4 linked regions of the Notamacropus eugenii genome follow. The protein of the gene in region 4 interacts with the protein of the main gene of each other region in a biochemical or structural test. Links are inferred from orthologs where the notes say so. Each region holds a gene or a part of one and is shown on either strand. Other genes may lie near its edges.

Region 1 (7,202 bases), on a different chromosome or scaffold from region 4:
TTAAGACCTGACATTCCAATAATTTACATTTTTGAAATTAGCTTCTTTTTCCAAAACAAATCACTGAATCAAAAAGAGAAAACTGAGCTAAAATGAAACTAGACAAGACAACTGGTTCAAGAAGAAAAAATTCCCTAGGATTATTAAGTCATCCCAAATCACATAACCTACACAAACTGACTGTTCTGCTTGAGTTATATTTCACTGAAGGGATTATATATTATAAAGAAGAGCTTTAAATAGTTTTTACATGCTGAAACTTCTCTTTAAATTGTCTCTGTCCTTCTGAATACTTGCTTGACCAGTAAGTACTAGGTACAGAAGAAACAAGATCAATGTCCTCAACACATCTTCAAAGACCTGTTCATATTTCATGTAAATTACAAGCTGGTTTTCACAATAGTAGTGGTATCTGGACTACCTGTATGAAGTCCAAAGAACCCACAAAATTTAGACCTGGAGGAGACTTTAGGACATCATCTAATCCAATTTCCTCATTTTTCAGATGACTAAAGGGGTCAGACTCATCCCAGATCACACAGGTAGATTCAATACTTGAGGACCAAGTCCTCTGACTCCAAATTTTGCAAGACCTCTTTGCATGACACCAATCATTGCTTCAATTCTTAGGAACTTTTTAATTCTAGGTTCAGGTCAGATAGATCATGGAAGGTTAATTAACTCCATCTGGTTAGGGATCTAAACAGTTTCATGAAAATGTTCTTTCTTTAAAAGCAGCTTCACTGAAGAATACACTATTTGGAAAAAAAAAAAGTTACTTCTTTTTCCCTCAAGATTTAATCATTTCAATTGCCCTTACACCCAGGATTAATCTTGAATAGGTAGGCTGATTCACTACAACTAAGTGGAAGTGTTAAAGCCACAGTTCACTTTATTCCAATAAAAAGCATTCTTCAGAACCCTTCTTACTTCAATTTGGCACTATAACCTATCTGGCAGCTAGGTGGCGTTCAAATCCTGCCTCAGACACTAGTTTTGTGACCCTGGCCAAGTCACCTAACCCCCTTTCCCCTCAGTTTCCTTATCTTTAAAGTGAGCAGGAGAAGGAAAAGGCAAACCACTCTAGTAACTGCCAAGGAAACCCCAAACGAGGTGAAGAGAGTTGGACACGACTTAACAACAAAAACGCAAAGTACAGTGGGGAGGGGGGGCACTAGCAAATGAGAATAATTAATAATGGTTAACATTTAAATGGAGCTAGGTCCTTTACAATTATTATCTCGGTCTCGTTTAATACTCACAACAGGAAACTGAGGCAGAGGTGGAAGCTACCCAGGGTTAACAAAACTATTCAGGTCGAATATGAATTCAGGTCTTCTGACTCCAGGCCCACTGCTCTAGCCACTGCCTTGAAACTACTAACTACTCTAAGTTAAATGGAGTTTCTCCTCTAAAAATGGGAGGAGTTAAAAATAAGTTATTTCCTTTTTTGAAAAGCAGTTAACATATTTTCCTAAATGTTGCTTTTATAATTTTAAAAGAAAATACAAAAACAGGGGGGAAAGCACAAAAACGCAAAAAGCTTTCTACAACTGTATCAAATTCAACATTTTGCTTTTAACTTTTAAAAATGTTTCAGATCTAATAACAGGTACCAAAAGCAACACCAGGTTACCTGTTAAGCTTCCCGCACTACACTGACCGAAACAAAACAAAACACCCAACCGCATCCCGGGAGAAACCGTCCATCTCCAGCACCTCCAGCTCTTCTTCACGTACACTTGAAAGAAAAAAACCCCTCTCCCACCGAACTCACTTTTCTCCCGCCTCTCCCACGGCCAAGCCCGTCCACGCCAGCCCCCTCACGGGAGGACAAATGAAACACTGTCACTTTGTCCCTTTGTCCCCGACGAAGGGGAGCAAGAGCACCGCGAGGAAACGAGCTCCCACACAGGACCCAAGCCCAAGGCTCCATCCTCCAAACCCAACGTCAGATCTGGCGCCGGCCGAAGGCTTCATCCATTGAAGAAGAATAAAGGAAGACGGACGAGGCACTTCCCTACTTTCCCGGGATCCCGGAGCCCCGGACAAAAGCTTCGGGCGAACACCGAGTGAGCAGTGACGCTAAGGGGTCGGCGTTCAGAAAAAAGTTGGCCGGAACAAGGCGCCGGGCCACTCGAGAGACTCGAGCAGCCCAGCCCGGGTGCCCCGGCAGGCGGCCTGCGGAGAAGCCGGCGGAGCGCGGGGAGCGCGCAGGGCCCTGGGCGCAGGGCACACGCCCGCACACACAGACCCTGCCGTCTCCCTCTCCCCCCTCCCCCGTGGCGACATGACAGCAGGGTCGCCACACACCCGCACGCACTCGCACGCACTCACCCGCCGTGTGTCTCGCTCGCGTCCCCCGCCTCCCCGCCCCTTTTCTCCCCTCCCCCAGCTAGCGGCGCGGCTCCGCCGAGCTCGGCTCGCCCCCTCCCGGGCCTCGCGCGCGCGGCGGGAAAGGGGCTCGCTCACCTTGGGTGCTGTACGGTGGGGTGGCGGAGATCGGGGAGCCGGGGGGAGCGGCGGCGGCGGCGGCGGGAGGAGGGGGGGTCTCGGCGGCCCCCAGGAGCGGGGCGGGCAGCATGAGGTAGCGCTGGGGGGCGGGCAGGCAGCGCTGGCAGAAGGAGTGCAGGCAGGGCAGCAGCTTGGGCGCCCGGCTCTGGATGTTCTGGTGACAGACGGCGCAAGTGTCCAACAGGTTGAGGCGGGCCGCCTCCCCGCCGCGCTCCGAGTCCGGGCCCTGCCGGCTCTCGGCCTCATTCTCCCCGCTCGGGGCCGCGGCCGCCGGGGCCCCCGACGCTGCCGCAGCCGCCGCTGCCGCGACCGCCGCCGCTGCCACGGCCGCCTTCTCCACAGCCACCTCCATTGTCCTGTCCCCGCCGCTGCCGCTGCCGCTGCCGCCGCCGAGGGAGAAGGGGGAGCGCGGTCTCCGCCCGCCGCCGCCGCCGCCGCCTCCTCCTCCCAACCACCGCCCCCGTCCTCCTCCTCCTCCGGACTAGGGGGCGGGGAGGATCGGGAGGGAGGCGCAGAGGAAGCCGCCTCCCCGGTGTCGCGGCCGGAAGGAGGGAGAGGAGTCCGCGGGCACCGCTCCTCGCCGGCGGCGGGAAGCCTCGCCCCGGGCCGACGCGATCCCGGAGCCCTCCCCGGCTTCGACTTCTCCCGGGCACTCTCCCTCTTCGGCTCCGCTCCCGGACCGGCCGCTCACCACCACCTCCCGCCTCCCCCGCCCTCCGAAGGCGGCCTCCTCCCCGACTCCGCCCTCTCCTCGCAACTAGGACGACCGCAAAAAAAGCCCCGCAGCCCAATGACCGCCGCCTCTCGCGAGGGGGCGGAGCCTGCCCGGGACTACCCAGGCTCGCCCCGGGAGAGGGGACCGCGAGAGGGAGCGGGGAGGAGGGAGGGGGACGGGGGCAAGCGCAGGCCCCGCCTCCTCTCCGCGGAACTCCGGCGGCGGTTGGGCTGTTGGTGGCGGTTTCTGCACCGCGGAGGAGACGGAGGGTTCTGTTTGTTGTATTGGCCCGGCCTGAGTGACGCCCTCCCTCCTCCAGCCCGCGTCCAACCACCTCGCACCTAACTCCGTACCCTCCCCCAGCTCCCCCGCCCCCCGCGGCGCTCCTCCCTGCCCGGAGCGTCCCCCGCCCCCCGCCTTCCCTGCTGGGAGCTGTGATTAATAAGTAACTGCCCGAGAGAACTCTCCTCCGGCCCTCGGCGCGGTAGAGTGGGGGGCGCGACCTCCTGGCGCTCTGTGTTCAGATGAACAGCCGAGGGACCTTCCTGCGGCACGGACCCCCTGGCAATCCGGGGAAGCCTGTGGACCGACACCTTTCCAGGATCTTGTATTAGATGCATAAAATAAAATGCATAGGATTGCCAAAGAAACCCACTCTGCATATTGACATTCAGATTGTACATGTGTACGAAGTGCATGGAAGCCAGGTTGAGAACCTTTGCTTTAAGGGAAATAAAGGTCTGGACGGGGTGCGGGAGTGAAAGGATCAGAGGAGATGAAGAGAAACCTTCCTAGGGAAAAACAGAGGTGAGGGGGTGTTTTTTCAAGGCAGGAGGTCCACGGATTTTCACAATCTGCTTTTTTTTTTTTTTAACCAGAATAATGAATGGAAAAGGTGGGGAGAATTGTGGGTGAGCTAGAGTGAGGAGATGAATGGATTGAGTCAATCCTCTTTTATGCTGATTGTACGCTGCAAGGGATTCACTTAAGAATGCCTGGATTCCCAGCATGTGTTGAAACAGTTGATCAAGAAAAAATTTTGAGCTTCTTTTAAAAAGTTTTTAATCCTGAAGCGAGATCATAGGATTGAATTTTAGGCATAATAGAGTAGAAAAAGCCAGAAGGGAGACTATTTGTCAACTTTTCCTTGTGGAAAAACAACACAGAAACAAGGATTTTTAAAACTTTTGTATTAAAAGGTTTGCCCCTGGGATCTTTAGAAAAGATGCAGGCAGCCATAACTCCTAGTCCATACAGAATTTAACTTCTTGAAGACATGTATCTAACACCAGATATTCCAAGGAGCCAAGCTCAGGCATCGAGCCTTTACATTCTGCACATGCTTGAAGTCTGACTTGGATACCCCCAACAGTCTAGAGAAGAGGCCAAGGAAGTAGCCCTGACTCTGAATCCAGGTAGATTCACCCCATGGGACTAGATCACCAGGTATTTATATACCCAGACCCCCCAGATGATCTCCTGTCTTAGGTGCTTGTAAAAACTGAGACCTAGGAATCTTTCAAAGCCAGAGACCCTGTTTTGAGAAAGTACTAGTAATCAAAGAGCATTTGGGAAGTACCTATTTTGCCCAGAAGAGCAGCTAGGTGGCTCAGTGAGTAGAGTACAGTGCCTAAAGTCAGGAAGACTCATCTTCTTGAGTTCAAATCTGGCCTCAGACTAGCTATATGACCTTGGGCAATTCTTCTTACCCTGTTTGCCTCAGTTTCCTCATCTCTAATATGAGCTGGAGAAGGAAATGGCAAACCACTCCAGCATCTTTGGCAAGAAAACCTCAAATGCAGTGACCAGGATTCAGACACAACTGAACAACAACACTTTCCACTAGACTCAACTGGGGGTACAAAGAAAAAAAACCAAGTCCTGCACTGAAAATGTTTACTTTTTATTAAAGTATTGGAGATTGGAGAGTAAGTGGGAGTGGAGAATATGGAAATCGTAAACAGATTATTATGGGTACTCAAGGTGAAATCACTCCTGAGCATCCTGAAGTTTTTTTCAAAGATGGGGGCAAGAGAATGGAATCTGGACCTCTTTTAAGAGAAAGAGTTAATGTCTAAGAGTACCAGCATGGCATAGTGAACAAAGAGTTAGCCTACAAGGAACATAGGTTCAAGTCCTACCAACAATACATTTTTGACTGGGTAGCCTTGGGGTGACTCATTTCCTCTCCCAGTGCTTTAGACCTAAGCTGCAGAAAAGTGCTGACCTGCTGTGGTAAAGGGCATTTCCTGATCTGGGAACTATATCAATGAAATTACTGGTCTAGTCTCTGTCCCCAGAGGAGGAAATCTCTCTTTTCCCCCACTAGACACTCAGATTTAGAGAATTTTTAACTATCTTGTTGCTTTTATACAGACCTTGCAGAGCATTACCAAGCTGAAGTCTGTTTTACCTCAACCAATTTAAATGTCTTTGCTTCCAGAAAGGTGTCCATGTCTTGTTCACACCTAGTTCTAATTAACTGATTCAATCAAAGACTGTTGTTACATGGCAAAGGCAATTCCTTTTCAATTGATCCTGTTGGGGGACAGGTCTGGACCAGGGTCCCCCGTGAGGACCGTGAGACGCCTGAGGGTCCGAACCTGCCCCCTTGTGGGGTACTGGGATGGCCCTGGTAACAGGCTGGCTCCACCCGCGGGGAGGCACTTGGGAGGAGCTCGCCCGCCCATGGGAGGTACGGGGGAGGAGACAGGGGATAATAAAAGGGGATGATCACAAGGGCTTAGAAGGAGAAGGAGAAGGAGAAGGGGAAGAAATGCAATAAAGCTTGCTGACTGCAACTCCTTTCGGGTGCTCTGCCTGTTTATTGCCCTCCCCCAACCGGGAGAGGGGCCGGAGACGTCCGAAGACCGGGGATCGGTAAGTGGAGAGGCGAAGGCCCGGGAGTAGACCCCGGGCAGCTGGCGCCTGAACAGGGGCCGCTGTAAGGAGAGGAGAATCCGCCTTTGCCCCGCTACTGCGGGAAGATTCAGGCAGCCTCAGTATTGAGAAGTGGCCTTGACCCGCTACTGCGGGAAGATTCAGGCAGTCTCAGTATTGGGAAGTGGCCAGGATGGGCCAGGGAAATAGTTTTCCCAACCTGAAGCCCGAAGATAAGGGAGTGCTTGCCTGTCAGTTGTATAAGCTTTGTAAGACCCATGGGCTTAAGCCCCACATCCGGGACTGTAGAGCATTTGTGGAAAAGATCTGGGATGTTTCCCCTTGGTTAGAATATTGTGGGCTACACCCAGCCAAATGGGGCGTAGTGGGACAGCAGATGGTCGCCTATGAGAAAGAGAGCCCTGGCGTACTAACAGAGGAGGACTTTACGTTCTTTCAAGTGGTCGCCACGCTTCTGCATTCGGATCCCCGTCCCCCCGGGAGGTCTAACGGCGAGACCCAAACAGGGCAGTCCCTTCAAGGGACGACAGAAGAAGAAGGGGAATCCGATGAGGATAATACTGAGCCCCAGCCCTTATATCCATGGGGTATGTTAAGAGAATGTGCAGGCAGGGACCAGAACCGCGCCCTTCAAGATGGCGCACGGCTGAGCAAGGGGTGGGACTATAGAGCCCCGAGGGGAGGAACAAAAGGGAAGTTTGATGAGGAAGGAACGCCCAAGAGGGAGTGGAAGGTCCCCTGGAAAGTCCCCGAGACAAAGGGCTCGTCAGAAGGAACCCTTAAGAAAGAATGGAAAGTCCCTGGAACAACAAAAGAGGGTGGGGGAATTCGCAAGAAGAAGTTTCAACAGAGTTTAGGAACTCCCAATCCTTCTGAGATCAGACCTAATGCCTTCTCCTTCCCCCCAGCCACCATGTCCTTGTCACAATCATCACAAGGAACGCGGTCATTTACCTATGGGCGGTCTGGGCCCTCGGAGCCTCTGAGCGTACTCACTCAGAGCCTATCCGCAGCTTTGGCGGAGGGACAGGAGGTAGATTTAGAGGAGTGGGAGGGGGCAGGCGCTTACCCT
Region 2 (6,972 bases), on a different chromosome or scaffold from region 4:
CTGAAGTCTTCTACCAGAGCCAGGTAAACCATGTTGTAAGATATATTATAATACATAATTCTTTCATTTAGGGCTTGGGAAAGATGTGGCCTCTTCCAACTCTCATATTGTGTGATGTAGAAAATAAGGGAAATGTTCAATCTATGGCAGAGATCTGATTTTGTCACCTAAATTTTAATGACAGTGAAATCCCATTTCATTATTTTCTTTTCTTTTATGGGTAAAATTGCAGATAACTATATTATTTATCATGGAACCATAGTAATTTGTAATTGGCTAGTTTCAAGTCATTCAAAACTTAAACAGAAGGAAAAACTAGCTTACTGCCTGTAGTACTGAATTTGGGAAAAGGGTTAAGTGCATCATAATCTAGAAACTAAGTGAAAGTTGACTGCATAACCTTGAGGGCAAAGACTTGTTTTGAAGATGAAGTATACCACAGTGAGAAGTGTTGAAATCAAGAGCCAGGAGTCATCGAGGTTTAAATCTCATCTCTGACATTTACCAACATGACTTAATTTCTCCCAGATAAAGTTTTTTAATCAGTAAAATGTGAATAATAATGCCAACAGTATTTACCTCCTTGAGGCTCAAAGGAGAGGATGTATTTAAGGCACTTTACAAATTTTAAAGTGCTAAATGAGTGTCAAGCTATCATTATTTGACTTTGCGTCTCCAGTGCCTAGCTCATGCTTAAGTACAAACTGAAATGAACTGAAAACATCAACTTTTCTCAGTGCTAGGTTTACACTGAAAACAGTCTGAAGCATCCATATCTCCTCCTGAGAAGCAAGCAAGTGGATCAGCCGAATAGGCCCAACTTTAAAAAACAAAACATAAATCAACATAAAGAAGAATTGAATGGTGGACTGACTGGATAGCACCTGAGACAAGATGTGGGGAAATTCATCCCCACCTTAAAAGCTGGAGCATTGTACCCATTTTTTTCATGTGAAATAAGGTTACATAAAAGACCTTGAAGAGGAAAAAGAAGTCACAAAAAATTAACTAGATGTTTTGTTTGTAAGATATGGTCTAATTTGTGTAAAGAGCATAATATTTCTTGAACTTCTGAAATGAGCTGTCACATAACTTTTATCTATCTACTTCATCTCCCACCTTAGATGCCTCCTTCATCCTAGAGTAAACTGGATGACTTCAGTTTCTGCTTCTTTATTTTTCAAATGAGGACAACATTGTCTCACCTTCCTGGGATGGTTCCACCCCACTACTTGTCTCTCACCATAAACTGTTACATATAGAAGGCAAAGTCAGTGTCTCCCTTTTATTAAACCACTTAAACAGAGATGAGGAAATTATCTCAATCTCAAAGTCCAGCGAGCCCTACTGGCTATTCAGTGCACAGAACACTTTGTGTCATCTATTATCTCCGTACATGTTGTATCTCACTGTCACCAATAGAATTTAAGCTTCTAGAACGCAAAGACTATTTTGTTTTTGAATTCCCCGTGCCTATCAGTATCTGGCACCTAGGTGGCATTTAATGCTTATATTAATCAATGGAATGGTAAGGGTTCAGAAATGATTTTTCATTGAATGGCTGAAAGACAGACAGGAGACAATGTATGAAAAAAGCTCTTGAAACCATAAAAGGTGTCTGGCTCCACTCCTTCCTCTCACGGAGTTACTCCTTCCTATGAGCTCTCTGCTCCAGCCATACTGGATCACTTTGTCCACAGTACACAAAAATCCGGGCTCTCAAGCCTCTGGAGGCAAGGCAGCGCAGTATACAATTTGGCACTAAGGTAAGACTAGAGTTGATACTGTAGGTCTACTTACTAGCTGTGTGACCTTAGGAAGCTACTTTACCTCTCTGGGTCTCAATTTCCTCACCTGTAAAATGAGATTCAGTTCAACAAACATTTTATTAAGTGTCATCTACCAAGTATATGCATTGCTAGGATGGAGGAAGGCCAAGACCAAATCCGAGCAGGCCCTGGCCGTCTAGATCGCCTCCAACGTTCTCCTCCATCAAGGATCTCTGCTCACCCTGTCCCCAAGTCCTGGGATGACCCCTGCCTTCTTCAAGCCCCCCCTCCTCCAGGAGCCCGACTTCGTCGTTTCTCCCCGCCCCCCATCTTCCCACAGCACTCGGCTTAATAATAACCTGACTAACCCAAGCTGGGCACCCTAGAGCTGCCTCCAAGCCATCCCGCCCCAGATCGGTGATAAAAACCCCAACAAGCCGCAGGTCGTCTCTCCTTCCTGGGGAACCCAAGGAAGTCGATATCGAGACGTGACTCCTCCTCCCTCCCATCCCCCCCACATCCAAGTTCCACCGGCCCCCAGAAATCCACCCAGGGAGCCCAGCCTCGGGACGTGCGGGGCGGGGCGCGCGGAGCTCTGCGGCCGGGGGCGGGGACAGCCAGGAGGGCGCGACGGCGGGGGAGCTCGAGGGCCCGCCCAGCCCCCCGCGCGCCTGCGCGGCGAGGCCCGCGGCTATGGCGACCCGGCCACTCTCTCAACCCCCCCTCCCCCAGCCCCCCTCCCCCATCCGTTCTCCCGACCCTCACACACGACTAGGCCCCAGAAGGCTCCACCTTCTTGAGTCGGTCCATCAAGACGCTCTTGTTGCCGCCGCTATCCAGGTTCCGCTTCTTCAGCTCGGCCCGGAGGTCAATCACCCGCAGATCGCTTAACCGCCGGGTCCCGGTCTCTGAGGAGGCGGAGCTGAGCCCTGCAGTGACAGAACTGGAATCGCCTGCGCCTGACAAAATCTCCGCCATCCCGAAGGGTCCTACCTCCGCTGCCCAACTCGCACGATTCGGGCGACTGCCACAGCTAGGAACACAAAATGGCGCCGCCTGCGAGGGAGCGGCACCAGCCTCCCCCACCCGTGGCGTCACTGCGCGCGCGCCGAGAAGGTGGTCTTTTTTTTCGGGAGGCTGCCCCCTCCTCCAGGCGCATGCGCCAAATCCCTCCGTCACCAGGAAGGAGGGAAGTAAGGAGCTTCACTGTCTAGATGCGCAGGCGCTCAAAACCCAAGCAAACTCCCGCCCTCAACTAATAGAGCACATGCGCAGCACCAGTTAGAGTGGGAGGAGCCCTGGATACGACTGTGGATCACGGGGGTGACTGCGTGGGATCCTACAGCACGCATGGGCAAACTCCCTCCGAGGAGGGGGTGGTGGAAAAAAGCCAAGTCGGTTGGCGCGCATGCGTAACCGGAAAGGAGGCAGGCTAGTGCGTTTTTCTCGCAAACGGCGCCATTTTGTGTTCGGAACTGCCGCAGCCACTGCTGTGTGTGAGGTGGGCAGCGAAGACAGGGCACCCAGGATGGCAGAGGCTCTGTCAGGGGCGGGCGATTCGGGATCTGGCCCGGCGGGTCTCGGCTCCGCCTCTTCGGAGACCGGGACCCGGCGGCTAAGTGATCTGCGAGTGATCGACCTCCGGGCCGAGCTGAGGAAGCGGAACCTGGATACCGGCGGCAACAAGAGCGTCCTGATGGACCGACTCAAGAAGGTGAGGGACCGGGGCACATCCGGGGCCCCGGCACTCGGTGTGGAGGGGGCGGGTGGAGGAGCGAGGGAGACCAGCGCGTTAGCTTGTCGCCGCGCACGCGTATTTGAGTCTGGGCTAAGGGGAGGTGCGCGCCTGTGGCTCGGCTCGGGGCACCCCTTGCTCCGCGGCCCGCTCCCCTCCGCTCCAGCCCTGGTCCACTTGCTCACCCCACCCCGCCGGAAAAAACCTTGGGAACGGGCGCGCTGGAGCGGCCCCGAGCTCCTGGGAAGGGGGTGTCCGGCGGGGGGCAGAGGCCGAGAGAGGAAGTCCTTCCCGTCCTGGCTCCGGCCGCGGGCCGTCCTCTGGTTATTCTGCCCCGAGCCGCGACCCTGTGACCTTTGGCCCCGCTCCGCACCCTCCTCTCCCCCGGTACAAAGTTCCAGCAACCTGTTGGTGTCTGCGAAACTTTCCCAAAATGGGTAAATCCTCGCAGCGCGTAGAAATGGCCGGCCTGGGCTTGGGTCCGGGCCCCTTCAGAAGCCTAAGGCTGCGCTTCCAGCCGTACGAGCCATGTCGCCATGTGATAGTGAAGTTCACTCGAGCCTGACTTCTGGGCTTGTTGCCCGGCCGGAGTAGCCTAACGAGAGTGAGGGAACTGAGCGTTTATTGCAGCGAAAGTTTATGACCAGTAAAGCACATGACGTCATGCACCTAACAAGCTCCCCTGAAACTGATATCTTAATAGGCTATTGAGGACGAAGGGGGCGATCCTGATGACATTGAGATTGCATCAGAGGCTGCCAGCAAGAAAATCCCAAAGAGGTATATCAAAGGTATGTGCACGAGCTCGGGGCAGAGGTTTTGGTGGACTGGAGAAGGCAGAGAACACCTTTTCTGTTTTCGTTAGGTTAACGTAGTTTTGGTTTTTACGTTTTTAAACAGTGAGCTTAGGTGAGCACTTAGGTGAACTAGGCAGAGAGCCAAGCAGGTGCTTTCAGATGCCCACGGGCTTATCGCAGAACCAGTGTACTTACTCCCACTTTGCTTTAATAATTATACTCTTGATAATGGTCATAACAGTTTTCATCTTCATGTGGCTTTTAAATAAAAAATTAAGTACTTTGACCTGTATTATCTCATTTGATCTCAACCATATCTTTGAGATAGTTGGGGAAAGTGGAATTTGTATTGCCTAATTTTCAAATGAGGAAGCTCAGAGGTCAGTCTTTGTAGGAAGAAAGACATTTTAGTCGGCATGTCGATATGAATGAACGGGTCCTATGAAAATAACATATCTATGAGAACACTTAACAAATACTTTTGATCATCAAAAAATACTGTTCATGTTCCTTTTCCTTCCCAAATTTTGATCCATTTTAGGACTGATGGACCTGAGGAGGCTAGCATATTGTGATTATTTTGATATGAGCACTTCTGTTACATTGTGTACAAATTTTAAGTTTTCCTGTCAGAGATGTATCATATAAATATATCCTACTATTATCGCTTTCCTTGGTAACATTTTTAGCTGAGGTGGTACTGTTTTTTCTTCTTTTGATCTATATTTCTTATTTTTATTCTGAACTTAAGTATTAAAAAGGGAATATTTCTATATGCTTTGAAGAACATAAGAGAATTGTATATGAAACAATCTCCATGCTGCTTTAAAAAAACTGAAATACTTGGTTATTTTCAAAACTGTTCTTTTTGTGCTTCCTTCTAAGCATTTTTCTGTTCCTTCCTGTGCATTTTAAACATTGTTTCAGTCGCCACATTGTTTTGTGGGGTGTTTTTGGACATTATTTTTAACAACCTATCTGCTCAACTCCTTTTTCCTCAATTAAAAACTGAGGGGGGAAAAAATCCTTGTTACAAATAAGAATAGTCAAGCAAATGATCACCATGGTAGCTATGCCTCCTCCTGTACTTTGAATCACTTACCTCAGGAGTCATTAGGTAGGTAACACTTCTTCATGTATATGTACACTGGAAAACTGATTGAAAGACAAGAACTCTAGTCAATACAATGACCAAAGTTGTTTTTTTTTTGTTTGTTTGTTTTTTATGGTATTGTTGTCCTTGTATGAATTGTTCTGGTTCTGTTCACTTTACATTTTTTATACTACCCCTAAGATTTTCTGCGTTTATCTTTTTTGTCATTTCCTATGATGAAATATTGTTCCATTACATTCATACACTGTAATTTGTTCTGTCATTGATGGGTATCTTCTTAGATTGTAGTTCTTTTTTCCCATACTTTTAATCCACCTTCCTTCCCCCTATACTTCACTGTCAAAAAGTCTGTTTCCCTGTGGGTGTTCTCCTCTTGGTATTATCTTCCCTCTTAACCCTCTATCCCTACCCCCATCTTTGCTTGTTTCTCTGTTGAGTTTGATGTATTTCTACACCAAATGGTGTGTGTACATTCAGCCCTACTTTATCCATGTCATATGAGTGAGCTTCATCAGATACCTGCTCCCTCCACTCCTTTCTCCAAGTTTTTATACTCTTCTCATGTCTCACCCCCATCTCTCTCCATTGTTATATTTCTTACACCTTTTCTTTCCCCTTTTAAAACTCTCCAAACAAAATAAGTATTTCCCAAAGCTTATATTTCAGTTATCAAGCATTATTTTTTTTTCTTTACCCATCTCCCCCCTTCCACTGCAAAATAAAGAAAAACAACCCTTCGAACAAATATGAATAGTTAGGGAAAATTGTTTCATTGGCTGAGTCCATGAAATATAGATCTCCTTCTGCACCCTGAAATTGTTCGCCACTTTGTTAGGAGGTGGGCAGCATGTTTTCATCATGAGTCTTCTAGAATTGTGGGTACCCATTGATAGAGTTCTCAAGTCTTTCAAAGTTGTTGTCTTTACAGTGTTACAGTTATTTTATAAGTTATCCTTCTGATTTGTATCACTTCACTCTGCATTAGTTCTTTCCTACAACATAAAAAGCTGCTGTAAATATTTTTGTACATGAGTCCTTTTTCTCTTTGTTTGGTCTCTTTGGGGTATTGACCCAATAGTGGTATAACTGAGTCAGATGGGATATTCGCAATTTAATAACTTTTTGGCATAATTTCAGATTGCTTTCATGAATAGCTAGACCAGTTCACTGCTCCATCAATAGTGTATTTTTGGTATTCCTGTTTTCCCTCCCACGTGTCAGTTAACTTTTTTGTCTACTTTACTAATCTGATGGGTGAGAACTGGGGCCTCAGAGTTTCTTTAATTTGCATTTCTCTAATTATTAATGATATGTAGCATTTTCTCATGGCTATAGATAACTTGAGAATAGCATATTAATATCCTTTGGCTATTATCAGTGGGCAGATAGCTATTATAGATTTGAATCATTCCTTATATATTTTATAAATGAGGTCTTTATCAGAGAAAATTTGTTGCAATGGTTTTTCCCCCACAGTTAACTGTTTCCTTTCTAATCTCAGTTGCATTGGATTTGTTTGTGCAAAAGTGTAGTTTTATGTAATCAAACAAAATTGTC
Region 3 (7,481 bases), on a different chromosome or scaffold from region 4:
CTCAAGCTGAAGTGCCAAGGCATTCAACTATGCTTCAGAGAGTGCAGTTCTGATGGTCTATCCACATTGTCCAAATGCAAAATGTATGCCTGCCAAAAAGACTATTTTATGGAGAACTTACATGGGGCAGGCAATCACATGGTGATCAGAAGAAGCGATACAAGGACATTCTCAAGGTCTCTCTCAAGAACTTTGGATTTGACTGTGTAACATGGGAGATACTGGCACAGGACTGCTCAGCATGGCACGCCCACATCAGAGCAAAGTAGAATTGAGACAGCACAAAGTAAACGCAGAATGCACAAATTTGGAGTATCCACCCCAAATATTCACATGGTCTATCTGTGCACAATCTGTGGTAGGGCCTTCTGAGCTCATATTGGTCTGATCAGCCACAGTTGGACACACTGAAATTTCACTTTATCATGGTGATGTTATTTTGGTCCTTTTTGAGAATGAAGGAGGACAACAACCAACTAACCAAGCAACCAAGAGGGGATGGTCATGGAGAGGATAAAGGCTAGCTCTTCATCAGAGAATGGGGCAAATGAGGAGGGAAGGAGAGACCTCAGAAGTGGGGAGGAAAAATAAATTCTATTTTGGTCATATGGAGATCCAAGTGCTTATGGGACCTCCAATTGTAAAATATTCAATAGACAGTTAGTGATAGATGACTGGAACTCAAGAGAGAGACTATGACTGACTTTTTGGATCTTTGTTTTCACTCATTTCTGTCATGTTCAACTCTTTGTGATCCCATTTTGGGTTTTCTTGGCAAAGATCCTGGAGTGGTTTGCCATTCACAGTAGATGAGGAAGCTGAGGCAAACAGGGTGAAGTGATTTGCCCAGGGTCACACAACTGTCTGAGGCCAGATTCAAGAAGATGAGCCTTCCTGACTCCAGGTCCAGTGCTCTATTCACTGTGCCAATCAGCTGCAAAGCCAGACTGTCACTGACTTTTTAGATCTAGCAATTATACATTGCGATGATAGTTGAACCTGTAAGATTTGATGAGATCACCAAGAACAAGTGTGGAGAGAGAAAAGCAGAGAGGACCCCTGGTCAGTCGATCCACATGGATGAAAGTTGATCCACATGGATGATGATCTAGCCACGGAGACTGAAGAATGGTCAGACAAACAGGAAAAGAACAAAGAGAGAGAAGCAGCAGCAAAATCCAGGGAGGACAATGTCCAGGAGCTGAGGGTTCAAAGGGACCTCAGAGTGTCTTCTCTCTAAGGCTACCTTCCTTTACTCGTCCATATCTTGTATGTGCGTAGTTGTTTGCGTGTTAGACTGGGATCTCCTTGAGGGCAGGGACTGTTCTGGCCCTAGCACAGGGCCCTGCACATAGGAGGCACTTAATAAGCATTTGTATCAATGAGATAATAATTGTAAGGCACCTAGAACAATGCCTGGTATACAGTAAGTGCTATATGTGTTATTATCGTAGTTGTCGATTGGTTGACTATCTGCCTAGCTACATTTTACAGCCGTAATCACCAGAGGCAGTAACAGTATCCACACAAGGTAGGAAGTCCCAACCAGGAATTGGTCAGGTCACCTAAGAACAAAAATCACAAGGGGATCCAGTTAGATCCTTATGCTTGAATGGCAGACCTCCATGGTCAACAGAGGTGAGTGAGCTGTTCTGGGCTAGCAACCTGCTAGGCTTGTCTGTTGCCCAGAACTTGCAGTATCTAAAAGGTAACTCACTGCCTAGGCATATCTATTGTTTCTGTCACCTTCTACTTCCTGTGGCTGTTGCTTCTGGTGGACTCTGCTGCCCACCCACCTTGCTGGGGCAGGGGAGCCTCTGATGACACCTTTGGATCCTTCAAACTCACTGTGTTGCTGCCTGGACATATTCATGTTAGAGGACTTGTTTGCCTCATATCAGGAAGGAAAGAATCTGTTCATGTGCTTACAGTGACAGCTAGATAAGTGGAGAGGACACCAAGCAGTTGCCTTTCCCCAAAACTAACTCTTGAACCATCTCCAAGATGCCCTTGATTGGAGCAGCAAAGGAAAGAGGCTGAGGTTAGCAGATGCCACCTTTTGTAGGTAGGTATGTATGTATGTATGCTTAGTTCTGGCTCATCCACAGGCAATGAAAGACTCACAGTCCAGGGCATCCATGCTATACTTCTTTGCCTAGAGACAAGGGGCTGGGCAAGATCAACTCTTGAGCCTCCTTCTAGGTCAAAGGTTTAAGCGTCTACACTGTCTGCCTCTGGGAGGCTCCATATACAAGATTTTAGTTTTGCTTATCTTTTTCTTCCTTTTCATGGATTGCTAAAGACCATCCAAAATTTCTTCCATAGACCTGGTGTCAGATGTTGAAAGGCAATATGGTGGATCATCAAGACATCAACTTCCTACTTTGTGTGGCTACTTTACTGCCTCTAGTGGACCCTGGTAGTGAGGGAGCATGTCCAGATGCAGAAACTAGTCAGTCAGTCAACAAGGTTGAGAATCTAGGGGTCTGAGTTTGGACCTCAGCTCTGTCCCTTACTTTCTTTGAGATCCTAAGAAAGGCCCTTAACACTCCCTGGGTCCCAGTTTCCTCAAAGCTAAAATGAAGGCACTAGAGTAAGTCAGGAGTCCAGGCTCCCTCTGACTTCTTGAGACTGCCAAAGGGGTCCATGACACTTTGATCTCCAAGGTCCAGCTTTAGTATTTTATGTCCTAAGGCCTTTCACCTCTGACATGCTATATTATAGAGTCTATGATCTTTTGTGTTTTAATGTCTCTTCTAGCTCTGATATTCCATGTTTTAAATATCATGCTTTCTGGGAGCTTATTCTAAGATAGATACCTTCACAAAGTCATAATAATGGCTAGTATTTATATCACACTTTAAGGTTTGCAAAGCACTTTAGAAATATGATTACTTTAATCTTCACACTAACCCTGTACGATAGGAGCTATTATTATTCCCATTTCACAGATGGGGAACTTGAGTTTGAGAGGTTAAATTACTTGCCCAGGGCCTCACAGTTAGAAAGGGTCTAAGGGAGCATTTGAATCCAGGTCTAATCTGACTCCAAGTTCAATCCTCTAAACACAGTGCACCTAGCTGCCCTATGAACAGGGAGGAATGGTAACAGGATACTGAGTAAGGAAATTGACTCCAAGATAGGCTGGTGCTTGGTTGAATGACCAAGGACAGAGAAAATGGAACACTTACATTTTTTAATAAAAGGTCCTATCTCTGACTGGGAGAGACTCTTTTCAAAGACGCAGAGGGCTGCCCTACAAGCTAAGAGAGATGCATAGGCAACCCCTGTCTAGACCGAGTATTGCCATTTTGAGAGGAAGTGTGGCCAAAAGAGAGAGAGTCCCCTGGAGTCACATGGTTAATAATAAGAACTCAAGGCCTGACCAGGCAACAGGAGAACCCTTTATCAGCCCAGCTAACTGGGAGACTTCTCTAGAATTTTCTGGTGCCCCAGCTTTAGGCTACAGTAAGAGAAGAGGTGATTCAGGTACAGCTGGGAGGGGTCTTAGAATACAGAATGTCAGATCAGGGAAGGGCCCTAGAACACAGGTGTCAGAGCTGGGAGGGCCCTTAGAACACAGGATGTCAGAGCTGGAAACGCCTTTAGAATACAATGTGAATTCCTGGAAGAGCTTTTAGAATGTCAGAGTAGGGAATGTCAAAGGTAGGAGGAAACTTAGAATACAAAACTTTAGAGTTGGAAGGGGTCTTAGAACACAGAATTTCAGAGATAAGAGGGCCCTTGGAACACAGAATGTCAAAGCTGGCAGCTCCTTTAGAACATAAACTGTCAAACCTGGAAAGACCTTAGAAATCATGTAGTCTAACCTCATTTTACATAGGTAGAAACTGAGATCCCATGAGCCAGGTGACCTATTCTTATCCCCATTTTTTGATAAGGAAACTGAGGCTCAGGGGCCCGGATAAGCACCTTAGAATTTTGCAGATTCTATGTACCCAGAAGCCAGCACTGCAGGAACCTCTAGTGCAGGGCCCCAAGGTTAAACAAACAGCAGCTGATAAGGTGACTTCCAGGTTGTGTTGTCCAAGGTTGGTCTGGCTTCGGGGCTGTTTTTCCCTCTGGGCGGCCCCTGGTGCAGACAAGGGCCGTGTGTATGTGTATGCTGACACCTGCCATGTCCCTGATGCTGACTGTACACCTGGGGCCTTGGTGTCCTGGTACCGGCTGGGTTAATGGCCCTGTTTATCATGCCTGAGTCATCCCGATAAAGCAGGCTGCCTGGTGACCCCAGCTGGTCCTTTCATTGACTAAAAGCCCTATCAGGGCCACGTGGAGCCCTTGCCTGCCCTCCCCCTCCCCGCCTGCCACTTCCCCAGCCAACCGTGCCAGGGTCATCTTGTTTTTCAATGAATAGGACTTCCCTGGTGGAGTCAAGGTTGTGGGGGCTGGCTCCCCTCCCACCCCAGGGATTATAAATAGAATCAGAAGTGCAAGCCTAGGATGGTGTATCAAGCAGGCAGAGGAGCTGCGCAGGGGCCCCAGAGGGAGTGAACGGTGTTGAGCTGGCAACAGCCGGAGTCATTTTTCCCTGACTGATCTTCCAATCCTAGCTTGCTGCCCAACCATGAGCCTGGGTGGGCCAGCTACAGGATCCGGAGCTTGTGAGTGCCAAGGTAGAGACAGCCAGCACGCCATTCTGTATTCCTTGCTGAGCCGGTCCCAGGGCCCATCGCCCCATGCCCATTGCCTCTGTGCCCGGCACCGCACAGTCTGCCTCCGAGCTCCACAGCACACCTGCCTGGCGGCAGCAGGTGTACTAGCTAAGACGATCACTTTCCTGCAGAACCTGCCCTCCTTTGGCTTGCTGCCTCCAGGGGACCAGAGGCTGCTGCTCGCCAACTGCTGGGCCCCCCTCTTCCTTCTGGGGCTGGCCCAGGACGCAGTGACCATCGAGGTGACTGAGATGCCAGCTCCCAGTATGCTCAAGAAGATTCTGCTGGAGGAGAGGAGCCCAGAACCCCAAAGACCCCAGCCCACCCTCGCAGGGGTACATCGACTCCAGTGCTGCCTACATACTTTCTGGAGTCTGGACCTGAGCCCCAAGGAGTATGCCTACCTAAAAGGAGCTATCCTCTTTAATCCTGGTGCGTAGAAGTGTCCTGCCTCTCCCCTATCCCACCCCCACCTCCCTTTTAGCTTATCACCTCAGTACCTTACCCAGGGTCCATCTGTCCTCTTCTTGCCTTATCTTCACATAGCCAAAGCTCCTGTGGGGGGGCATAGGAACAGAAGCCCCTATGTCCAGGGAGAATAAGAACTCCAGAACTGCCAGGACTCTCCCCCCGCCCCAAACACACACCTTCTTAGGAAAGAGGGAAGAAGGAAGAAGATGCGTTACCATGCGTATGATGATAAAGAAGTCTAGCACCACTGGCAAAGTGTCAGACAAGATGATTGGCTCCCTAGCCTGAGAATTCCCTCTTAGCAAAGTCCTGGCCTGGCTGTGAGAGGGAAAGAGTTAATATGGTGAAGAGAAAACTGGATTTGGAGTCAGAGGGCCTGGGTTCAAATGCTCCCTCAGTGACTCACTAGCTGTATGGCACTGGGGAAATCACAAACTCTCTGGGCCTCAATTTCCTCACCTATAGAATGCAAAGGTTTGACTTGTTGTTAAGTCATTTTCAGTCATACACAGCTCTTTGTGACCCCCACTTGGGGTTTTCTTGGCAAAGATCCTGGAGTGGTTTGCCATTTCCTTCTCCAGTTCATTTTACAGATGAGGAAGCTGAGGCAAACAGGGTGAAATGACTTGCCCAGGATCACACAGTTAGTAGTCTGAGGCCAGACTTCAACTCAGGTCTTCTTGACCCCAGGTCCAGCACTCCATCCACTGAGTTACCTAGATGTCCTCAGGTGTGATTAGATAACCTACAAGTACCCTCCCAGAACTAAACCCAATGTCTGACAAGGAAGACATAATGCAAACATTCTGGGAGCCTTGGTCTTAATAATAGAGAGAAGACAGATACACAGAAAAGTCATAAAACAACAGGCAAATTTCAGTTACGATCAGAGGACTCTTTGTACGTAAAGTGCCGGACAGAGCTGAGTACGTTAGGTTGACCAGAAGTCTTCCTGGAAAGGGATCTCTAGAACAGTTTTGAGACAGTGAAGAGAGTCCTTAGAATACAGAATGTCAGAAGTGGGAGGGACCTTAGAGGGAGTAAGGAGAGAAAATAGATTTTTATTTGAAATAATTTACCTCCCCCCCAAAAAAATCCCACTACAGACAGAATCTCAGAAGTAGAGAGGGGACCTTAGAACACAGCATGTCAAAACTGACGTGGGGGCCTTAGAACAGAAAATGTCGGAGGTGGAAGGGGCACAAGCAATCACTATTGAGTATAAGCCTCTTATTTCCCAGATGGAAAAGCAGAATCCCAGGGACTAGAGAGAACTGACTTTGTTAAGGTCAGCCAGAAAGCTGGTGATGAAGGCAGGCATGGGAATCCAGACCTCCAAACTCCTGTTCCAGTGTTTTCCCCATTACACCTTGCTGCCTCTCAGAAGGAAGTAGCGATTTACTAGCTTTCCTCTTTCCTCTTTCACTACAGACACCCCCGGCCTCCAGACTGCTTCGTATGTAGAGAGCTTGCATCGGGAGGCAGAGCAGGTCCTTCAGGAGGCTTTGGCACTCCATCACCCTGTGGACCAGGGCTGCTTTGCCCGCATCCTCCTTGTGGCCTCCTCCTTGAAATCCATCCCTCCTGCTCTGCTCAGCTCCCTCTTTTTCCACCCAATGTTTGGGGATGCTGACATCACCAGCCTCATTGTGGACATGCTGTACTTGACTTAACCGAGGGGATGGTTCCCTTTCCTGCTTCCAACTGCCTTCAGGACTCAGAGGCACCTCACCCAGGCTTGAGACAATGCAAAGACTCCTTACACTTGTCAGAGAGCTTGTTCTGAGGGCTGTGCCTCTCTGGATGGGATCTGAATTGCCTCAGGTCAGGGACTCTCCCATTGGGACCAGCCCTGAGCATTCTTCATATCTGGGCTCTGTACCCTGCCTTGAGAGATGCCAAAGCCAACTGAGCTGGGGTGGGGTAGAGATGCTTACTGGCTCAACTCTGATACTGAGTTCTCATAGACTCACAGCTGGAAAGGATCCCTGAGGGCATCCAATCTAGGATAGGAATAGGAATTCCCTCTGCATCATTCTTGTCTCATGATCTTAAAAACTTCTAGAGATGGAGGAATTCATATCTTCCAATCTACTGGTTTTGAGGGCTTGGGAATCAGTCAATAGGAAAATAAAGGGGAGGGAATGATCTACATTTTATTAAATTCATCAGATATTTATTAAGTACCTCCTGTGTGCCAGACACTGCATTAGGAGTTGAAGATACAAAAACGAAAAGGAAATACATCCTTTGTTCCCCAGATGGAATACCTATGTGTTGAGAGCGTTCCACAACCTTAGAAATTCCACTTTCCCATTCTCTATATAGCTTCTT
Region 4 (7,870 bases):
TTTTGCCTAAGTTGTCTAATATTTTAGGATAGTAGCTTCTCAGGGAAAGGAATGCAGAATCACAGAATGTTAATGCTGGAAGGAATGCTCTAACATATATACAGAGTCATAGTATAGGTCTTTTGATTGGTACTGAGAGATGAGATAACTTAGCCAAGATCACATAGCCAGTATGTATTAGACTCGAATTCATGTCTTGCTGACAACAAGACTGGTTTTCTATCCATTGTATCATGCTGCCTCAGGAAAGCACAATCACAGCCTTCTTGAGGCGCAGTAAACTAAATTATCTATCCTAGGATAAATACGCAAAGTATGTTCAGTTTCCCACCTGGGCGAGTTCTCCTGAGATGTTTCCAAGAAGGTTAATTGTAGATGCACCACCAGCACTACTCTCAGCATTATAAAATGTAAATTTTAAAAGCATCTATTTTACATGGGGCATGATGCCAAATCCTACTTAAAACAAGCTAGACAGCCAAGGTGTGTTCATCCTTCCTAGAGAAAGACATCACTCACCCACCCACTAGCAGCTAAGGGCTTTGAGTTTGGTTCTCCCTTTGGTGACAATAAGCTACACCCTACCAAAAAAAAGACCTCATTTTTTTTGCCTAATCTTAACCAATAGTATGCATCTGTGAAGGGCTAGACTGTATTAGGGACATATAATCTATGGCTCTAAAATAGAATTTTTTCTCTTTAATGTTAACTGAGCAACCCACTAGAAGTTCAAACCTAGGACCTTGGCCCCATTAGAACTAAGGGAACAGAGTAGTTATAGACAGATATGCAGAGGATATCCAGATAACATGAAAAAAAATGAGGGAGGAGCCATCAGAAATTATTTCTAACATATAGATGTCAGGTATAAATGTATCTGAGAGGTCTAAAGTAAGCATGTTGCCTATCACTCCCTAACTCCCCCCAAGATAGCAGATTGTAGAGCTGAAGTTAAATTTTAGGAAATAGGGTTCATGTGAGTAGACAACAGTTATGTAACTATGTCCTCATTGCTAATTCAAGAAACATATGATCTGTCCCTCTCCCTGTCACAAATTATATGTATTTCCACATTACTAAGAAAAAGGTTCTATTGACAAATCCTGGTAGCTTAAAGCATTATATAAATGTTATTATTTTTGAAATTAAGCCTCTTGCTCCCTAGTCAACATTAATCATATCTAAATTATTGATAATTACTCATTTTTTTTAATTTAAAAACCCCATGACAAATTCTGCGGCAGTATTTCATGTGTCCAGAAGCCTAGTAGGTATCATTAAGATACCCATGGAATAAAATAAATATTAATGAAATAAAACAAGAAGTGGCTGCATGGAATAGATTTGAGAGTCTGACCTAGAGTAGGGAGGATGTAGGTTCCAGTTCCACCTCTGACACTTACTGATGACACGATCTTGAGTGAATCACTGCTGCCAGGCAACTCTGTAAGACTATAAATCGGGAATCCACATTGATAGAGGGCATTTCCTCACCTGCAAGCTCCCTTCACTGATGAAATTACAGGTCTGAACAACAACAACAAAAGGTGTCAAAAAAACCATCAAAAATGATGCCTCCTTTTAGCAAATAGAGAAATGGAGGTAAAAAGACAATTAGTAAATTACTCATGAGCAAATAGGAAGTGATTTAAAACAACCGCTTTAATTGCTTTGGTCCTTTGTGCATTTTTTTAAATGCTCAGTGCATTTTGAGTGGTTAGTCTATGTTCGTCCTCATCTTGCACCTGAGCTAGCTTATAATTAAACAACCAAAAAACACATACACCTCAAACAACACTACTTTCCCAGCAAGCTCCTTCTCAGAGTTGTTCTGCAAGTTTATTCAATCTTGTCCATGAAGCCATGTGAAATCCGGTACCTTGATTTGGACTCCATGCCTTGATTTAATGTCCTGAGACAATCTTACCCTTATATCTATATGCAAACATAGGTATTTTTTAAATTATATCATCTCCTATGGGGAGGCTAGTTCCCTTCTTGCTACAGAGTTAAATTGACATTTCCTGAAACTTGTGGCTTTCCTCTCACCAAAATGAAAGTGTACCGTCCTTGCTGTGTGCTTTTGCCACATCATTACTGGACTAGCACCATGTGACACCGTCATATGTGGTACAGTCATTAATGAGGACACCAGCCTGCTGAAACAAACAAACCAATTTTTTTTTCCTTTTTCACACAAAAGAAAACTGAGGTCAAGAGTCGAAATAAATTGCTTGAGATTATAATGCAAATCAATGACAAGGTCCTTCTTCCTAGGCTCCTATCACTGGATTAGGCTGCTTTTTGGAAATCTTCCTTTCTTCTAGGAAACAGCTTGTTCAAAATATTTGGTTGGAACTGCCAAAAGTTGCTGTATTTCTACTATAACATAACAGGTAGTTGCCATATGTTCATGACAACTTCAGTGTATTCTCTATCAGATCTCATCAATGTGCACAGTTGGCCAAATAGAGAGACTTAGGTGATTCTGGAATATTTCTGTGGATTTCATGGAGAGAGCTGTGTCCAAAAAATATATTTTGTTGGGAGCAGTAAGTCCGTCACTACTGCACTAAGAAAAGGGTACTCTTCTTGCCCTCTGACTCAGCTGATTATGATTCCAAAAGTGAATTTCCATTGCACTTAGTTCAGACTTAACACTTGAACATAGTAACACTCTGGCCAACAGACTTTGTAAATATCCCTCAAGTCATATGGAAAAAGAAAGTGAATGGCTGTAAGCACTAGAGTTACAACATACTTGTAAATAACATGCACACACACCAATACACATACACACAGATTCCTTCCCCCTCAAAAAAAAGAGGGGGAAAAAAGACAAGAAAAAGAAAGGGGAGGAAAGAAATAGGAATACCTACTTGGACAGAAGAATCTCCCTCACAGCCTGTCTGTCTTCTTATACTATAGAATATGCAGGAGGAAGGATTATTAACCTTTCTAGCCCATTAAACAGCTTCTGTGCATGTGCCCTTGCATTCTCTGTTTTGGTGAAATCTGCTCTGTGGCAATACACAGGAGGTTGTTATGACCAAGAAATTAGGAAATGCAAAGCCTCAAAAATGAAAAGCTAGCACCACCATTTGACTAGAAGTGGAAAAATCTCTCTGAAAAAATGAAAGGCCTGCCTTTTCTCCATGCTAGGTCAGATTTTTCAACTTTCTGAGCATTTCAGGCTAGGGTAGAGGTTTGACAAAAAGTGGAATGTGTGTCATTAATCTGCCAGCAAAACTAATACAGTCCAGCTGATGTGTTTTCTGCCTGTAATAAAGCATAAAGTCTTGACAGGGGTGAATCTAACTAGGAAAAAGCATTTGTTCAGCACATAAATTTTGTGAACCTCAATTAGTTGCTGCTAAAAGCCATATGAAAACTCATGGGAAAGGGATTCTAGTCATGCCATTCAACCATTCCTTCTACCCATTTTCCTTCTTGACACTGAATAATTGGTTACTTAACTATAGTCAGCCTAGCCTAGATTAGCTTCTCCATGACTTTTAAGCCCTTCCCTCCATCATATGATCTTCTTATAAACTGTCTGGCATTTCCTGCAGTGATTTAAGTTTCTCTTTGACCCAGGAGATAAACATTTTGAAGTAGAAAATGAGCTAATAAAAGGACCTGGGAATTTAAAGAGCTTTTGAAACCTGTTTGTAATTTAAGAGTTTGTATCTTAAAGGTCTTTAAAAAATAAAAAAAGCTTAGTTGATGAACTTTGGTTTACTGTAAAAAAAAAAAAACTAAGGAGTTTTTGGGACAGGAGAGGAATAGATAGGAGGAAAAGCATCTCTCATATCTACTTTGCTAGACAAGTTGCCATTTCTTAAATGGAGAAGTTCCTTAAAACAGGAAAAAAGATAGACAATCAAAAACCAAGAAAGACAAAGATAGACAGACAGACCTAGGACAGGTAGACAGAGAGGAAGAGAAACAGAGAGAGAGAATGAGAGAGAAGGAGGGAGGGAGAGAGGGAAGTAAGGAAGGAAGGAAGAAAAGCTAGGGGAGTTGCCCAAGTAGGAAGTTTAGAGGGTTCAAAAGGAAGCCCTTCCTCTTTGTAATTTTAAGATTAGTGACAAGTAAAAGATAAATTATCCAATAAATCAATTCTTTGAATAGAAGTTTAAGAAAAATAACATTAAAAGCTTTTTCTGTATTAATCACTCAGTTATATGATTTGCAGACATTTCTGCCTTTTACTGCCAAATCTTTTGAGTCACTCATATGCCTCAGTGCATAGTTACCTATACATAAGTATATGATTAAAGATACAGTAGTACTTCAACAACTGAGAGATCTGTAGGAAGTACTGTGAAACCCTGTAAAATTATAATAGCTGACACTTACTTTACGTACTGATCTGGGAATATAAAATCTCATCTGATCCTCCCAAGAACCCTGTGAGGCAGATGGCACAAGTATTATTCCCCCATTTTACATGATGACAGGGAGGCTAAATGAGGACAAATAATTTGCCCAAAATGACACAGCTACTAAGTAGTAGAACTAGAACTCAAATTCAGATTTTTTTGGCTCATCCCAGGATTCTTTTCACTATACCATCCTGCTTTTCTAATTACATATCACCTTTCTTTTCCCATATTAGTTTCTGGAGAAGATACATAATTCTTCATGTGCCCTTTCAAGAGAACAATATCCACAATGACCATGATGTAATGGAAAACAAGGCTTAAAGGTGTGAGTTAGATTAGTGCCCTGAGCAATCTTGACTCTAGAGGATTGATGATAAGATATTCCTTATTCCTGTCAGTGGAGAGGTGGTAGACTACAAGTGCTGAATAAGGTATATGCTGTCAGGCATGATCAGCGCATTTGTTTGGTTTGTTTAACTGTACTGCTTTGTTGCAAGAGGAGGTTCTAACATTGGCAGAATGGTCCTTGGAAAGGATAGCTACAACCAAAAAAAGCTTCAATGAAAGATTTTTTAAAATATTTTCTCTCTTATTTTGTCATAAAATTTGCAACTGTTTAGTTGAATGGAATTCATCATCAATAACCAGAATAAATGATGAGAAAGTTAGCAAATTAGGATTTAAAGCAAACTGTCAAAACATAAGACAAATTTCAATGAACATTCGTTAACCACCTACAATGTCCAAGGCTCTGTGCTCAGTATGGGCATACAAAGAAAAAAAGAAAAAGAAAAAAAAAAGAAAAGAAACTTCCTTCTATTTCACTACTCAGATTTACTTCCCCAATATAACTTATTCAACTGACACATAAAGCCAAGAATTTAATTATAACTAGACTGAAACTGACAATTAAAAAAAAAACAATCCCAGGGTAAACATATAGTTCATCCAGGGTCACACTGCAACTAATATCCTGAAATCTTTTATGAAGCATTGAAGACAATGTAACTGTGGCATCTTGCCATCCATTACTGCCCCCCAATGTAACCCAAGTTCCCAGTAAAGACCAGGTTTCAACTAGCAAAGTAAATCAGAGAAATGAGGCAATATATCTGGGTCATTCAAGCAGAAATCTATTTTGTCTGACATCCAGACTAAAGCAGATTTTTTTTCATCTAATGGTTCAGTCAATAATAGGGTTTAGACATGAATTCCATAGATCATCTTTTTCTAGCCCTAATAATCGAGATCTCGCCAATGAGTATCCTTTAAAATTTCCCCTCAACTTGATTATAGTACCCAAGTGACTCTGAACTTCTTTTTTCATTAAATGACAAACTTAGTATGAAACTCTGCTCTCCAATTAGCCAGCCTATGGGAGTTTCCTAAGGTAAATGTCATTCTCGTGTATAAGATCAAGGCCCGGAAAGTCACAACATTATACTTCTGCCCAGTCTCTGAGTAGAGATTATTGAAAACATAGTCATAAGTCATAATATAGTCAACATCCACTACTTACTTACCTTTCAGTATGATTTACTCAAAACTTAAAGAACTTGGAGAGCAGCCAGCAAAAGACAATTCAAGTCTTCAAAAAAAAAAAATGTATAGTTTTACTTCAGTAGCCCAGTCAACCAGAAAATATTGTGGGAGAGAAATCAACAAATTTAGTTAAAGTTCACAGTTCTCATAATTTTAAATTTTAAATCTCACTGTGTAAATCACAAATGATTTGCACAAATGGTTTGCACTTCATAAATGCTTTTTTCATTTATTCTGTATGCAAAAGGAAATAATAAAATGAAGCTGTAAACATTCTAAAGAGGAAGAGTTGTGTGTATGCACATGTTTTAAAAATCTACTTTCAGGATGACTGGTTTGTCAGAACAAGTAAGATACCTGAGAGATTAAAGCATTTCAAAAGGAGAAAAGCTATTAATATTTCACTTGGTCTTCAGAAGCAGCTTGGACATAGCATAAACGAAGATAGTAGATGAATAGCTCCTTCCAAATTCTAAGGGACAATCTTCAACACTAAATGCAGTGTGAAAATAGACGGGTACAACAATCCGGGACTTTCTCTTCAATACTTTGCAGTGGGTTTGACCTTTCAGACTACAAATCAGGGAGGGGACTAGTTCGAAGGAGTCTCAAGATAAAGTTGCTAACAGTGGAGAAGCACATAGATCACTAAAGAGTTATTAGCTGTCCTAACAAAGTGCAAGCTGCTTGAAGACAGGACCTGTTTTCCTTTGTATTCTAAAAGTCTATTACAGAACCTGATATATAGTAGGTTTTACTAAATACTTGCTGGATTGGATATAATATGAACTGAGAATTATTTTTAAATCATATAAAAGAATGGAATTTTCATCAAATCACAGATTCTTTTCAAAGTGTCAAGAAGCTAAAGTCTAATATCTTAACTGGAGGAGAACACTTCTCTATTGAATCAATCAATAAATCATGGGCTTTAGACTAAGTACAGAAAAAAGTCCTTGTTTGATTAACTAGAGTGACTTTGCACAGGAATTATATTCCAATTAACTGAGGAAATTGTTATGTCATGTCAATAATCTATAAAAATCAGGTCATTTGGGGCCTGAAGGATTTGAGGAAGTAGAGAGGAGAAAACATTCCATCAAAATTCCTAAGAAAGAATTCATGCAGAAGGAGAAACCAGGCCCTGGGCTTTGATCTTCTTGTCAGTCTCCTCATCTCCTCCTCCCCACTCCCAGTCAAAGAGGACCCTCTCAGACTTAGGAGGACCAAATTAGGAGTCAAGGACAGACAAGACAGATTCCAGGCTCTATAAAGAGCACACCAGAAAATCTAAACAATATCCAATAGGAACGTTTTTATGATGCCAACAAGAGGTTTTTCCAGAACCTGTGTTATCCTTTGCCACATGTGCTTTTTAACCTTGAATTTACTTTCCCCTGGATTCTATATATATACTTACTAGAGAGTGTCACAGAACTTTTCTGGGGATGCTTTGTACCAACTCTACTACTGTAATAAATACCCCTTTCTAAAACTAAATGTCTGGCTGACAGATTGATCATAAACTTATAATTTTGGCAGGAAGCACACTGGTGGGGACTCAAAAGCCTTAGAAAGATATCTCTTCAGGATTAGCCCTAGAGCCTTAAGGAGACTTAGCTATAGTCTTTGGACCTTATTTATCAGTACAAGTGAGAACTGGGATAAAGACTTCCAGAATTTATGAGTCTACCAAAAAAAAAACCACTTAATGAGTTTATAATCTTATAATTGAGAGACAAGACTGCCACAGGAAATAATTAAAGAATGATGGAAGATCATGCAAGAGTAAAGTATGATAATGTAAACTATCCGATGTTGTTTATAAGAGTGACAAAAAGGGATAATCTTGTCATTATAGGGTAATTTGAATAGTGGCTACAACAGGATATCTATTCACTGTCATTTTACTAAAAAAAAAAAAATCTTTATTTAAACAC

Evidence for each region.
Region 1: the proteins of ESR1 (region 4) and TRIM24 form a complex in vitro, tested with the Homo sapiens proteins (4 studies listed by BioGRID). The link is inferred for Notamacropus eugenii from reciprocal best matches to the Homo sapiens genes ESR1 and TRIM24.
Region 2: the proteins of ESR1 (region 4) and scaffold attachment factor B1-like form a complex in vitro, tested with the Homo sapiens proteins (2 studies listed by BioGRID). The link is inferred for Notamacropus eugenii from reciprocal best matches to the Homo sapiens genes ESR1 and SAFB.
Region 3: the proteins of ESR1 (region 4) and NR0B2 form a complex in vitro, tested with the Homo sapiens proteins (2 studies listed by BioGRID). The link is inferred for Notamacropus eugenii from reciprocal best matches to the Homo sapiens genes ESR1 and NR0B2.

Annotation. Positions count from the first base shown.
Region 1 is NC_092874.1:110,703,035-110,710,236, forward strand, and holds the start of TRIM24 (transcription intermediary factor 1-alpha), read right to left. Parts: upstream 3,004-7,202; 5' UTR 2,867-3,003; coding exon 2,473-2,866; intron 1,772-2,472; exon of another isoform or gene 1-1,771. UniProt on the Homo sapiens protein: Transcriptional coactivator that interacts with numerous nuclear receptors and coactivators and modulates the transcription of target genes.
Region 2 is NC_092875.1:73,568,669-73,575,640, reverse strand, and holds the start of scaffold attachment factor B1-like, read right to left. Parts: upstream 3,009-6,972; 5' UTR 2,748-3,008; coding exon 2,562-2,747; intron 1-2,561. Other genes in the region: SAFB2 (scaffold attachment factor B2), read left to right, coding at 3,178-3,483, 4,208-4,295. UniProt on the Homo sapiens protein: Binds to scaffold/matrix attachment region (S/MAR) DNA and forms a molecular assembly point to allow the formation of a 'transcriptosomal' complex (consisting of SR proteins and RNA polymerase II) coupling transcription and RNA processing.
Region 3 is NC_092876.1:68,043,957-68,051,437, reverse strand, and holds the start of NR0B2 (nuclear receptor subfamily 0 group B member 2), read left to right. Parts: upstream 1-4,462; 5' UTR 4,463-4,588; coding exon 4,589-5,108; intron 5,109-6,578; coding exon 6,579-6,820; 3' UTR 6,821-7,481. UniProt on the Homo sapiens protein: Transcriptional regulator that acts as a negative regulator of receptor-dependent signaling pathways. Specifically inhibits transactivation of the nuclear receptor with which it interacts.
Region 4 is NC_092873.1:243,779,764-243,787,633, reverse strand, and holds the start of ESR1 (estrogen receptor), read right to left. Parts: upstream 3,018-7,870; 5' UTR 2,880-3,017; intron 1-2,879.